Xenopus tropicalis: one gene and its partner. The protein of the gene in region 2 purifies or fractionates together with the protein of the main gene of each other region. This does not show direct contact. Links are inferred from orthologs where the notes say so. Each region holds a gene or a part of one and is shown on either strand. Other genes may lie near its edges.

What was found.
Region 1: the proteins of clns1a (region 2) and gar1 purify together in Homo sapiens (affinity purification with mass spectrometry; 3 studies listed by BioGRID and IntAct, counting the BioPlex papers as one, with this or other methods). This does not show direct contact. The link is inferred for Xenopus tropicalis from reciprocal best matches to the Homo sapiens genes CLNS1A and GAR1.

Annotation. Positions count from the first base shown.
Region 1 is NC_030677.2:68,655,172-68,662,529, forward strand, and holds the start of gar1 (H/ACA ribonucleoprotein complex subunit 1), read right to left. Parts: upstream 3,855-7,358; 5' UTR 3,794-3,854; intron 1,265-3,793; 5' UTR 1,264-1,264; coding exon 1,071-1,263; intron 846-1,070; coding exon 691-845; intron 2-690; coding exon 1-1. UniProt on the Homo sapiens protein: Required for ribosome biogenesis and telomere maintenance. Part of the H/ACA small nucleolar ribonucleoprotein (H/ACA snoRNP) complex, which catalyzes pseudouridylation of rRNA.
Region 2 is NC_030678.2:168,853,832-168,861,415, forward strand, and holds the start of clns1a (methylosome subunit pICln), read right to left. Parts: upstream 4,708-7,584; 5' UTR 4,673-4,707; coding exon 4,554-4,672; intron 1-4,553. UniProt on the Homo sapiens protein: Involved in both the assembly of spliceosomal snRNPs and the methylation of Sm proteins.

The DNA.
Region 1 (7,358 bases), on a different chromosome or scaffold from region 2:
ACTTTGAAAATATTAAGGAAGCACTCATAAAAGTTACTGGAGACAATATAAGAATGTAAGAACCAGTAATTCTTACACAAAAAAATAACATCAAAAATATTTCAGAAGCATATGGAGCCCAATCTACATATTGTGCAAATACACGTGTAGATTTAAAGGAGAAGGAAAGGTAAAAACTAAGTAAGCCTTATTAGAAAGGTCATGTAAATACAGCCATAAGCACTCAGCATAAGTCCTCTTTCAAAAGAAACAGGATTTGTTGTTTCTTTGTTTTCCTGTGCCATAGTCTGCACAGCTCCCTCCTGCTCCCCCGTCCCTCAAGAATGCTAAGAACTCCCTCCCCCCCCTTAGGAATGTGTGATCTGAGCCAATCAGCAGGAAGCTTCCTCATAGTCTTATTAACTGAGCATGTACATAGGTCTTGGTCTCGGTGCAGGAGCGAGGCACTATGGGACCTTTCTTTACAGAGTTCAGCGGGGTTTTTTTCCTATGAGGCTTCTGATTATCTGAACCAAAGAAATATGGGGAGACTTAAGGGCACTATTGAGAGAACTGATGGTATGCCTGATTAACTATTTATTAGCCTTTCCTTCTCCTTTAATGAGGTATCAGCTAAAATTAAAAAAAAAAAAAAAAAAGTTCCAATGTTAAGTGATGTTGACCGTGGAAATAATTTGCTGTAAAGGATACAAAGTCTCTTAGCTGCCCAAATATCTCATCCACTTTTCCAATCTGTTCTTTATTCTCAAGGTATATGGGAGCATTGAAATAAGGCACTCTGTTTTCCTGTGTAATGCATTTACACACCACATCATCTTCACATGGATGCATAAATTCCCCAACCTCTGCAAGACAAAAAGAAATACATGCATATGAGTGGAAGCAGCATAGGGGACACTACAGACATTTGCTTTCAGCTAGAAACTGCTTTGGAGAAGAGATATATACTTGAAGAATTACAAAAGTGACTGAAGGATGTAGAAAAAAAATGATTATGATTGCAAAACTTTGCAGGAAATCAGAGCAGTCGAAAGACTTGGAAAAAAAAATATACATATAAATATATTTACCAACAACACTCTCAGGAGGACCTTGGTCATATCCTCCTCTGTTGAAGCCTCCACGTCCGCCTCCTCTTCCAAACCCACCTCTTCCACCACCCTGTCCATAACCTCCACGGCCACCTCCTCTTCCTCCAAAACCACCACCTCCTCTTCCTCCTCCTCCACCTCTGTTAAAGCCTCCTCTCCCTCGGAATGACATCCTTATTGAAAGAATAGTTGGAGCAGTGATTTTTAAGTCATCAATAAAAGTCAAATGTAATGAAACAATAAACATATGTCAGTTTTAAGCAGTCAGTAGGGTGGCTTTACAATTACCCATACCAATAACCTATAGGACACTATTAAAATTATTATGCAAATACATGTACAGGTGCTACTTGGGATATTTGAGACTTGGGGTTTTTTTGGATAAGCAGCCTGTTAAATAAAAAAAGGACTGTATTGTGCTCATCATATATTTATGCGAGTCTCGTTACCATCAATGAGAAGTGATGAACTGTTTGTTAAATTGGACACTATTGGAAATGGCATTCCCACATAATGCTGATTACTGATATTAGGTTTCTGGATAATGCATCTCATACCTATATGTCTCATGGAACTTTTTCAGCTTCAAATTGATAAGCAAAATGGGGTATTTATAAATGTTAAATAGAGATTGTGTCACTGAACTACATAAAGACAAAACTCTTCCAAACAATAAGTAACCCGAAGATCTCCATATGTGTTTGGACTACAACTCCTAGTTTTCTACCAACAGATGTCAAAATGCATGCATTACCATGCTTGACAAAGAATACTATCTTCGAGGTAGCATTTTGCTATGCAGGGGCAAGCTCATTTAATGTACTAATCCTACAGTGGTGCAGTACAGAGTTAGAATCTATATTTGCTGCATTGTGGGGGGAATATATAGTGCAAAGTTAAAAGGAAAACTATACCCCCCAGAATGAATACCTAACCAACAGATAGTTTATAATATGCTAAGTAGGCTATTAAAGAATCTTATCAGTAAATATTGCCCTTTCCCTTGATTCACCATTTAGTGATGGGCTGTGTGCTCCCTCTGAGATCACATGACCAGAAATAATGCAACTGTAACAAGAAGTAGTGTGGAAGCAAAAGACAGAACTGTCCACTGAATACATGTGTGCCTTGGCTTGTTTGTGTGCACTGTGAATCTTATGATCCCAGGAGGCAGCCCTTAATTCTTGAAATGGCAATTTTCTATTTAGGAGTACCCAATAGCACATACTACTAAAAAAGTATATTTTTATGAAAACGGTTTATTCAGATGAAGCAGGGTTTTACATATGAGCTTGTTTATGCAATATGTTTTTATAGAGACCTAATTGCTTGGGGGTATAGTTTTCCATTAGGTGAAGTCACCTAAACAGTTAAAAATCATACAGTTTAGCCATGCATTCAAGCAACCAAATAATGATTTCTTTAACGGGTAAAAGATTGTTGAATCTCAGGTAGTCTGGGCACACAGTTAAGTAGTCATGTCAAACCTCTGTGATCAGTGTAACACTATTTAAATGGAAATCGAACAGAATAATAAAAAATTTTAGTTACATTATGGGGCACATTCATCAATGTACGATTGAGTCTGAATACTAAAAATTCATATTTTTTCAAAATTTTAGAACGGTGCGTATTTTCTGCGATTTTCTTGTTAATTTGTGCAACTTTTTCATTCTTTGTGACAATTTGTACGACAAAATCATATTTGTCGCAACGAGTACGAAAGTTTTGGAATTTATTAAAGCTTTGTTATCGTAGCTTTCCTTTGGCCAGGTCGGAGCTGCAGAGTGCCATTGAGCCCTATGGGAGACTTTCCTTGGGCCGGGTTGGAGCTGCAGAGTGCCATTGAGCCCTATGGGAGACTTTCCTTGGGCCGGGTTGGAGCTGCAGAGTGCCATTGAGTCCTATGGGAGACTTTCCTTGGGCCGGGTTGGAGCTGCAGAGTGCCATTGAGTCCTATGGGAGACTTTCCTTGGGCCAGGTTGGAGCTGCAGAGTGCCATTGAGCCCTATGGGAGACTTTCCTTGGGCCAGGTTGGAGCTGCAGAGTGCCATTGAGCCCTATGGGAGACTTTCCTTGGGCCAGGTCGGAGCTGCAGAGTGCCATTGAGTCCTATGGGAGGCTTCCAAAATCATGCACAGAAGTTTAACAGTTTTTGCACTGTCACTTTGATAAATGTGCCCATATTTGTCTGCCATAAACATTTGCTTACATGAAGATGAACTGAACTGCAACTTTAAACAACCCCCTGACACACTTTGATAGTAAGCATAGTATTAGTTGAAAATCATTTCATGTGCCCATCACTTATGTATATAAGCAATGACATAACTCCATGATCCCCATACTAAATCCAGGCAATGGATGACAAAATATTATCTGACCAAATAGCACTGGAGGGCCTGGATGTATAATAATGTTAAAATCAATGTTACATGAATTAGTGACCTGTAATGATCAGGGGTGAAGCACAGAGTGGAAGAATATCGTCACAGGGAAGTATAACCTCCAGCCCTCCATGCAGGCTCAACATCTGTTTGATCCGAGCTAGAGAACAGTATTTTAAAACCCAGGATAGCAGTCGTACACCCTTACTTTTCATCTCAACGATCATTGGACTGGACAAATAAAATGAAATGCATGTTTTAAAATGACCATGACAGATCGTATCTACCCTCAATTAAGCAATGAGTTACATTTACCTTTAGTTGCGTTTGGCTTCCTGCATGCGGCACTCTGAAACTACCCAGAGTACACTCCGGCACACGTTCCCACCACTTCCGACTCAACAACACGTGGACTGCGTACATCGTACTTGGGCGCACAGCATTCACGTCATCAAACGGCGCGGCTATTAAAGGAAACGCGCTTACGTGTTTGTGTCCATTTACTGAACTGAATGAATGGAGTCAATGAGAGCTTCTGTGATTTGGTTAGGGAAAGGCAAAGCTGGACGCACCGCAGAAAATAACGCATATATTTAGCTTATTACCGAGCAGCCAGTAATTATGGTACCGCTTGGTATTGTAATTGAACTCAGTTGCTGAACTAAAATACCCCATTAAAAATGGATTTTACATCGAAAAGCAGTTGAATTAATCCCATTGGGTGTATGTAAAAAATCTTTTGGGGATGGGGCTAGCAAGTAGATAAAATAATCATGAGTAATAATTCTCCAATTATTTTTGGCAGCAAGGCACAAATCTAGAGAGTGGGAGGGTAACACACTTAAAAGAAATATGGGAAAGCTGAACTGGTTATGGATTTAACTAGCCCAATGGGAGAAAAGAAATGCTATACAGATACAGATATAATTCTGTGTGTGTTGGGGGGTGGAGGTATAGTATAACTATTTCTAAATATACAAAATTACTCGCACATAGAACAAAAGTACACAAGGTTTGGACATTGGCCCTTAATCACAGGACTTGACCAATTAATGACAATTACATTTACAAATAACTTTTAAAGCACTGAAAATCTTTAATAAATTCATTTTGGAAGGTTGCCTAGAATTATGTTTTTTTTGTATTGGGCAAAAATGTAGTTTTGGGATTGACATGTCTTTTAAAGATTCGGTTTGGCCAGGACCATGGATTCGACTGAATCCTGATGAAAAAGGTAGAATCTTGGCCAAATCCCTAACTGAATCCTGGATTCATGCATCCCTAATTTGCATTAGAGTATCAAAAAGCAGAGGATAAGTCCAGGCAATGAGAACAGGGTAGTGTCCTTTGGCCTTGGCATCTAGAGATCATTTGCAACTCTACATAAGGATGTTTCAGTGGAGGGTGCAGCTGTTTTAAAGATAGAAAAGTACCAGAAAATTGTTTGCGGGTAGAATTGACTTTGCTTTTAAAATAGCAAAGTTCCAGGGGCTATGTTTAGACGTGAGTGATTTATTTGGTAAAGGATGAAGAAGTGAGTAGAATATGGTAACCAAGCACCATGGATTGTTTTTATTATTTATAAGTGTATTATAGTATTTTTGCTTGGCCTGGGATAGGGCAGCATTGAGGCAGTCCATAAGAAATGTATAGCGGAGGGAGTCTACTGTACACTGTGCCTGCAATGAAATGTGGAAGGGGGGGGGGGCAGCACCCTGTGTATGTAAGGAAATTCTGGGGGACCCACACACTTTTCCTCTGCTGAGATGTTGGGGGCCATACTCTGTGCCTGTTGTGAAATGCTGGGGGACCCACACACTATGCCTCTGCTGAGATGTTGGGGGCCACATGCTGTGCCTGTCGTTATTGCTGGGGGAGCCACACACTGTGCCTATTGAGAAATGCCTGGGGGGCAGGGCATATACCACACACTGTGCCTATTGAGAAATGCCTGGGGGGCAGGGCATATATTATGCCTGTCGAAAAAATGCAAATGAAATGTTGGGAAGGGCAACACACTGTGCCTGTGGTAAAATGCTGGGAAGGCCAAACAATCTGCCTGTTGTCAAATTCTTTGGGGGCCACATGCTGTGCCAGTTATGAAATGCTTTGGGGGTCTCACATTGTGCCTGTCAAAAGTAGTCCCCATTGGGCAATTATGATTTGGTTTGTTTTGAGTTTTAATACCTCAATAAATGTTCCATATGCATCTTTAATTGCTCAACGGGCATCAACTTTGCTAGTTTAAATACAATTTGTGCTTTACAATGTGTTTGCTTCTGAAGTTCTATTATGTTCTTATTTAGCTAGGTTTTATGGCATGCTCTGATTGTGATATGGTGGTACTCCTCTGTGATCACTAAAGTGAGTGCAAATATTTTAATTTACAAAAATTTAAATATAAGCTTCATATAATGAATATAATATGAACATATAATATGAACCGCGCTGCCATGTTTCTTGATCCAGTTTTCACAAGCCAACTACCCAGGGCCAGTGAGTTTTTATAAAAGGTTAAATTGGCGCCCTCTCCAGTGATTTAAGGTTTTGTTTTCCATTAAATACCTCCTATGTCATTTCCAAGAACTGATTTCCTGAGGGGACAATTTTTTATCTATTACATCCTATTGTAACACACTACAGTGGCCAGAGTCACAAAGGAGCCCTGGAAGTTTAGTTTCTGTGCTTGATTTTTCCCTAATGCTAAGGCAGTAACACACGGCGAGATTAGTCTCCCACGATAACTCTTCACTACCGCTGGTGGGAAGGCATATGCGTTGCTTCAGTTTTCAAAATCTGCCCCGTAAAGTTCTTAAAGGATTGGTTCACCTTTATGTTAACTTTATGTTATAGGCCAATTCTAAGCAACTTTTCAATTAGTCTTTTTAATTATTTGCCTTCTTCTTCTAAGGGCTCTGGCACACAGGGAGATTAGTCGCCTGCAACAAATCTCCCTTGTCGCGGGCGACTAATCTCCCCGAAATGCCATCCCACCGGCGAAAATGTAAATCGCCGGTGGGATGGCAAACGCAGCGCCGTGATTTCCCCGATTTCCCACAATTTGCCTTGAGAGTCGCAGGCGACTAATCTCCCCGTGTGCCAGAGCCCTAACTCTTTGTAGCGTGTCACTGACCCCTGTGCCAAAAAACTATTGGTCTGTGAAGCTACAGTTTAATTGTTATTGTTACTTTATAATATTTATTTTTCTATTCAGGTCCTCTGCTAATGTAATTTGGACCCTAGCAACCAAATAGCTGCTGAAACTACAAGCTGGGGAGTTGCAGAGAGGACAGAAACAGAAATAATTAAAAAACTACAAATAATTAAAAATGAAGACCTATTGCAAATTGCCTCAGAATATTACTCTCTACATCATGTTAAAAGTTAACACAGGTGAACAACCCCAGTTGCGGTATAGCTTTTTTTTTTTATTCCTAGGAAATTGAGTCCTGGGGCTGACACACTAGAGTTCAAAAATCCAGTTCAAGCCCTGACCACAGGGGATGGCATGACATGGTTTTAGAGGATGGATAATAATACTGGACTGTCATTTTAAATTATGGTCCTTTAAGAAAAATAAACCCACTTTTTGACGTGAACTCATTTAATTTGCTTTAAAAAGGAACATAAATCAATCTGAACTTCCAGAAATAAATACAAACATAGGCACAGCTGATTCTACAGGAAAAAATATAATATACATGCAAATACTTTTCTAAAAAAATTCTGCTTAAGGTGGCCATACACGTGGCGATCCGACGATGTTTCGTACGACCATCGGTCGCACGAAACATCGTAAGATCCGCCACACACCATTCAGGGCTGAATCGGCAGGTAAGGAGGTAGAAACAATAGGATTTCTACCTCCTTCTGCCGATTC
Region 2 (7,584 bases):
AAGAGCACAGTTAGTGCTCGAAACGTTGGATCTCTTTGCTTAAATAAACTTACTATATTTTTGCCAAGTCCTGGTGAGTGCAGCTCTTTTTTCTTGCTATATATATATATATATATATAATATATATATATATATATATATATATATATATATATATATATATATATATATATATATATATATATATATATATATATATATATATATATATATATATATATATATATATATAAGTGAATGAATGTCGGCACTCACAGGATTCTCACAAGGATGTATCACAGACAATATGGTTGAATGCAACTAGGTGAGGTTTATTGTCCTACGTTTCGGTTCTTTACTGGAACCTTCGTCAGGTTCGAAGGTTCCAGTAAAGAACCGAAACGTAGGACAATAAACCTCACCTAGTTGCATTCAACCATATTGTCTGTGATACATCCTTGTGAGAATCCTGTGAGTGCCGACATTCATTCACTTATCTACATTTTGCGGCTCTGGCACCCAGGTATTGTACCTAAAGTTTGGTGTGCTCCCCACTCTGCAATCTGTGTATATATATATATATATATATATATATATATATATATATATATATATATATGGGATGCACCAAAACCAGGATTTGACCTTTTTCAGCAGGATTTGGATACGGCCGAACCAAATTCGAATCCTCTTTAAACCTTTCTTATCTTAATTTGTATAATAATAATTTGTATAATTACTACATTATCCTAATTTTAACATTTCCTTATCCTAATTTGCAAAATAGTGTATTTGGTGAATCCCTAATTATATATAAAAAAATGAGCCCCTGCACTGACTGACAATCAGAGACTAAAGTAACTGGCAATGTAGGGGGTGATCCTGTTAACTCTATCTGTGCCATATAATAAGGGTCACAGTGGTCTTGACCAATCCGGCAGCTTATCTGCCCATGTATGTGGCCCCCCACCCACCCCACCAATCCAATAAAGGACTGTGTTCATCTCATTGATGTGGTCCTCACTCCAACGGCTCTTATCCCTGTCATTGTAACCAAATGATCCAATTAGCCCAATATTGCCCACTGTAGGTTACCATATCAGGAGAAAAATTCTCTTATTTAAAACCTCACCAAACGAGCCAATCTTATAGAGCCGCCTTTAGGGCTCTGGCACACGGGGAGACTAATCTCCCCGAGTTGCCATCCCACCGGCGAAAATGTAAGTCGCCGGTGGGATGGCACACGCTGCGCAGGCGATTTCGCCAAATCGGCGAAGTTGCCTCACAAAGGCATTTTCGGCGATTTGGCGAAATCGCGCCGCCGCATGTGCCATCCCACCGGCGACTTACATTTTCGCCGGTGGGATGGCAACTCGGGGAGATTAGTCTCCCCGTGTGCCAGAGCCCTAAAGGCAGCTCTATAAGACTGGCTCGTTTGGTGAGGTTTTAAACAAGAGAATTTGTCGCGGGCGACTAATCTCCCTGTGTGCCAGAGCCCTTAAGGTGAAGACACACAGAGCTACTTAGTAGCAGCTACTTTTTCAAGGCTACTAAACTCCAAAAAATCCCCTGCCATAGACAATAGTGAGAATTGCCTCTGATAAAACACATGTAAAGACAATTATCAGTAAATGATCAGCATTGTCTGTTTTAGTAGCCATGACAAGTAGCTGCTACTAGTAGCTTCATGTGTCTTCACCCTTAGGGTGAAGACACACAGAGCTACTAGTAGCAGCTACTTGTTGTGGCTACAGAAATAGACAATGCTGATCATTTACTGATAATTGTCTCTATATGTGTTTTAGCTGAGGCAATTCTCAGTATTGTCTATGGCAGGGGATTTTCTGGCATTTAGTAGCCACGACAAGTAGCTGCTACTAGCAGCTCCATGTGTCTTCACCCTTAGGTTTGCTTCCAGCAAGGGAACCATCTACAAAGAATATATATGTCCTGTACATGTCTGTGTGGGTTACCCCCCAAGTGCTACGGTTCACCCCCCAACATAAAGGCAGAATAACTGGTTCCTGCTAAAACTGGACCTAGTGTATGTTACAGAGACTATAGACTACAAACTCCCCTGGTGCAGGAATGATGTATAATCTCCATTCAGCGCTGCAAAATATGCCAGCCCAACATATAGGGTAACACTGTACTGACTATACCATACGCTGGTTACTGTGCATATATATATATATATATATATATATATATATATATATATATATATATATATATATATAATACAGTCAGTACTATACACAATATGTGTAGGAATGTGTGTTAAGGTGCCCATACACGTTAAGATCCGCTCGCTTGGCGAGGTCACCAAACAAGCGGATCTTCTCCTTCACCTACGGGTGGGGGATATCGGGGGAATTCAAGCTAATTCGATCGAGTTAGAACGCCGGTAATAGGTGCAGTCGGTTCGGGGACCCTACACTACCGATAAGCTGCCGAATAGGTCTAAGGGACCAACCTCGGCAGCTACAATCGGCCCGTGTATAGCCAGCTTTAGCCTATGGCCAGCAGGTTATACAGGTAACAAATACGCTACACAATCACTCAATATATAGTGAATAAAGCAGCCCCTATTGTAACATATAGGGATATTTTAAGTCCCCGAGGAGTTCCTTATAATATATAGTGAATAAAGTGCCCCCTATTGTAACATATAGGGATATTATAAGTCACAGAGGAGTTCCTTATAATATATAGTGAATAAAGTGCCCCCTATTGTAACATATAGGGATATTATACGCCCCCGAGGAGTTCCTTATAATATATAGTGAATAAAGTGCCCCCTATTGTAACATATAGGGATATTATAAGTCCCCGAGGAGTTCCTTATAATATATAGTGAATAAAGTGCCCCCTATTGTAACATATAGGGATATTATAAGCCCCCGAGGAGTTCCTTATAATATATAGTGAATAAAGTACCCCTATTGTAACATATAGGGATATTATAAGCCCCCAAGGAGTTCCTTATAATATATAGTGAATAAAGTGCCCCCTATTGTAACATATAGGGATATTATACGCCCCCGAGGAGTTCCTTATAATATATAGTGAATAAAGTGCCCCCTATTGTAACATATAGGGATATTATAAGTCCCCGAGGAGTTCCTTATAATATATAGTGAATAAAGTGCCCCCTATTGTAACATATAGGGATATTATAAGCCCCCGAGGAGTTCCTTATAATATATAGTGAATAAAGTACCCCTATTGTAACATATAGGGATATTATAAGCTCTGAAGGAGTTCCTTATAATAGATAGTGAATAAAGTGCCCCCTATTGTAACATATAGGGATATTATAAGCCCCTGAGGAGTTCCTTATAATATATAGTGAATAAAGTACCCCTATTGTAACATATAGGGATATTATAAGTCCCCGAGGAGTTCCTTATAATATATAGTGAATAAAGTACCCCTATTGTAACATATAGGGATATTATAAGCCCCCAAGGAGTTCCTTATAATATATAGTGAATAAAGTACCCCCTATTGTAACATATAGGGATATTATAAGTCCCGAGGAGTTCCTTATAATATACAGTGAATAAAGTGCCCCCTATTGTAACATATAGGGATATTATAAGCTCTGAAGGAGTTCCTTATAATATATAGTGAATAAAGTGCCCCCTATTGTAACATATAGGGATATTATAAGCCCCCGAGGAGTTCCTTATAATATATAGTGAATAAAGTACCCCCTATTGTAACATATAGGGATATTATAAGCCCCCGAGGCGTTCCTTATAATATATAGTGAATAAAGTGCCCCCTATTGTAACATATAGGGATATTATAAGTCCCCGAGGAGTTCCTTATAATATATAGTGAATAAAGTACCCCCTATTGTAACATATAGGGATATTATAAGCCCCCGAGGAGTTCCTTATAACATATAGTGAATAAAGTGCCCCCTATTGTAACATATAGGGATATTATAAGTCCCCGAGGAGTTCCTTATAATATATAGTGAATAAAGTGCCCCCTATTGTAACATATAGGGATATTATAAGCCCCCGAGGAGTTCCTTATAACATATAGTGAATAAAGTGCCCCCTATTGTAACATATAGGGATATTATAAGTCACCGAGTAGTTACATGAACATATAAAAGCACGAGGCCGAAGGTGACTTTTAATATCCTTATATTTGGCAACAGGGGGTACTTAATTATAATATACAAGTCTCAGCACCGTTTATAATGATATAATTTACAGCTTGGCACAATGGGGGAAATGCCCAAACTGTAGACTATAACAAAATGGATCAGCATCCCCCAACAATGGGCAGAGAGGTACCTGGGCCGTAACCCCTAGCAACCAGCAATTCCATATGTTGGGCCACAGGCAGAATAATGAAAGTTGAACAGTAACTGGTTGCCATGGGGCTTCTGCCTAGCAACGAATTGCCCAGTGTTGGGTTAGTGAGCCACTCAAGGTGCCACTATGTAACTTGAGACGCAGTTAGTCTGACTCAAAGCCAGTTATGCAGCTACAGCTGAACCACGACCCCCGCACCCTGAGGGCTCACTGCAGCCATGACACTGACAGATTTACCTCTCTGCAATATAGAGGGTCCCAGGGCCGAGCCCCTTGCCGCCCACCACTGCCTCAGTGCCGGGCTGCAGCCGTCGGACTCCGTCGCCGGGAGGCGTGAAGCTGCTGAGGAGATTCATGGGCGCGAAACCGAGGCAGAGTACCTAACCACGTGGTACAGCCCGCTACTCCCACCAACAAGCCGACCCACACTGCACCGCGGCCTCACTCTCCCTCCCCCAGTCAGGTAACTTAACTACAGGAAGTGACGTCCCCAGAACTGGGCGGCCGTGTGCTGTCGGGAGCAAGCGGCCATGATGGAGGGGGAAAGTGTTGTTGGAAACAGCTTTGTGCTGCTTTCTGCCCCATCAATAAATAACTGAGTCTGTGCTCGACTGCCGTGGGCCTGAAAATGGAATAGAGTGGTGGCTTGTGCCAGGTTTATAATTCGGTGTGAGTGTTGTACCTCTGTAATGTCCAGCTGTCTAGTTGCTGTATTTGTCAGCCTGTGTGAGCACAGGGTTAATATAAAGTAAAGGTGCCCATACACGTTAAGATCCGCTCGCTTGGCGAGGTCGCCAAACAAGCGGATCTTTTCACGATATCACCACCTACGGGTGGGTAATATGGGTAATGGGGCAGTCGGTTCGGGGACTGCATCAACAAACCAATGCGGCCCCCGATCCGACTAAATCTGTTAACCTGTCCGATCGATATCTGGGCAATTTCAGGCCAGATGTCGGGCAGGTCCATCGTTGCCGCCCCTACACGGCCCGATAAGATGCGGAATCAGTCTAAAGGTCCCCATACACTGTAAGATCCGCTCACTTGGCAATGTCGCCAAGCGAGCGGATCTTCACCCGATATCCCCACCTACGGGTGGGCGATATCGGGTAGCAAGTAGCTTAAAAAAAAAATCCTCGTTTCTGCCCCTACACGGGCCGATAAGCTGCCGAGTCAGTCCAAGGGACCCATATGGGCAGCTTCTATCGGCCAGTGTATGGGGACCTTAATAAGGGACCCATATCGGCAGCTACAATCAGCCCATGTATGGCCACCTTAACCCTATGTTGGCTAGAAAGGCCTTTGTCCAGCTAGGGGGAGAGAGACCCAGACGGCAAAGTTTTCGGTAGGGCTGTCTGGGTCAAAACTACCTGCTCAGGGTCAGACTGGGCTGCCGGGACAGTGGGAAAAATCCCAGTGACCCTGCTTAATCGTTCCTCCCCTGATGAGCTAAACTTACGTGCGCTCAGGGGAGGGCGTCAGGGGGAGAACAAGGCCCCTGGGGAGGGGGGGGTTAGGGGACGAGGCCGGCTGGAGCCCTGCACCCCCAAGTCCGACCCTGTACCTGCCCCGTTTTCCCAATTTGGAAGACCGGCCAGGATTCTTGAAGACTGACATGGCAATTGGCCAATTGCTGCATCACGGCCCCGCCCCTTCAACATCCCGCCCTACCTCTCTGCCCAAAGTTCCTCAGCAGGTAAGGTGGCAACCCTAAGCATCAGTTGCACAAGGATGGGCTTTAGCTATGTAGAAGAGTTGAAGGGGAGGTGTAGTGCAACTACAACTCACTTAGGCTGTGTGCTTAGAATAAAATAAAGGATGCCGGAATGTTCCAAAGTAATGTGTCACAAAGTCAGACAGATGCAGCTGCTGGTACATAGCGGCCGTGTATAGATACTCATTTCCAACATCAGTGGGAGATGATAGAACAAACTACAAACTAACTTGGACAACGAGCCCCTCCTGTTTCCAATCACATAACTAAAGGTATTAAATGGGTGATTTCTCCACCCTTTGTAAGTGAAAAGTCCAGTTGCTGGCTGTCATAAAGTCTGTTGTAAATCAGCCAATTCCATTTTTTTTTCTATAGCCGCCGTACACATACCATTGCCTATATGCTATTGAAGAAAACATATGTAGGACATGCCAGAAACTTTCTTAAGGGGGTGGTTCACCTTCAGGTTAACAATTTTTCAATTGGTCTACATTTTTTTTTTTTTATAGTTTTTGACTAATTTACCTTTCTTTTCAAACCTTTTCCAGTTTCAAAATGAGGGTCACTGACCCCGGCAGCCAAAAAACTATTGCTGTATGAGGCTTCAATGTTATTGTTACATTTTATTACTTATCTTTCTATTTAAGCACTCCTCTACTCATATTCCTGTCTCTCTTTCAAACCACTGCCTGGTTGTTAGGTTAAATTGGACCCTACCAACCAGATAGCTTCTAAAATTCCAACCTGGAGAGCAGCTGAACAAAAAGCTAAATAATTAAAAAAACTGCAGTTAAAAAAAAAAGACCAATTGCAAATTATCTTAAAATAGCATTATCTACATTATACTAAATGTTAAAGGTGAACAACCCCTTTAAAGGGGATATACAGCCTCATTTAACAGCCTATATTATTTTCTGTATAACTTTCCCACATAAACTTATTATGCGGGCTGTCCAACTGGAGGGGTGCGGGCCAGATGTGCGCCCCCCCCAGTCTGCCCAGAGACTCCATAGGCTTCACTATATGACCCTCCATCATGCTGTATGAGAAATAATCAACCCACTACATGTTGGACAGCGCAGCTACTATGGATCGTTTTCCCCCACGCACTCCCCTCCTCGGATGAGAAAGCAAAATAGACCAACTTCAAGTCTGCTTTTGGACCTGGTCTAAAGGACAATACAGCAAGTGCCTGACATAGGGATTGGACGCGGCAGCTGAGGGTTGCTGGGAGTTGCCTTGTTTTACAAGAAATCTCTGGAAACTGATTGGTTGAGACGCAGTAAAAATGAGGGACTAACTTAAAAACATACATATTTGTAAGTAAGTTTATATTGGGAAAGTTGCTTCTTATAAAGTTCATATTGAAGTTTAATATATAATTAAAGCACAGCAAGAAGAAATAGTTATACATCAAAGTGCCGGTAACACCATATATTACCTTTGAGTTACCTATTAGTGTGATGTAGAACGAGATAATCTGGGACAATTTGCAATTGGTCTTCATTTTTTATTATTTGTAGTTTTTTTTAATGATTTCAGTTTTTGTGCAGC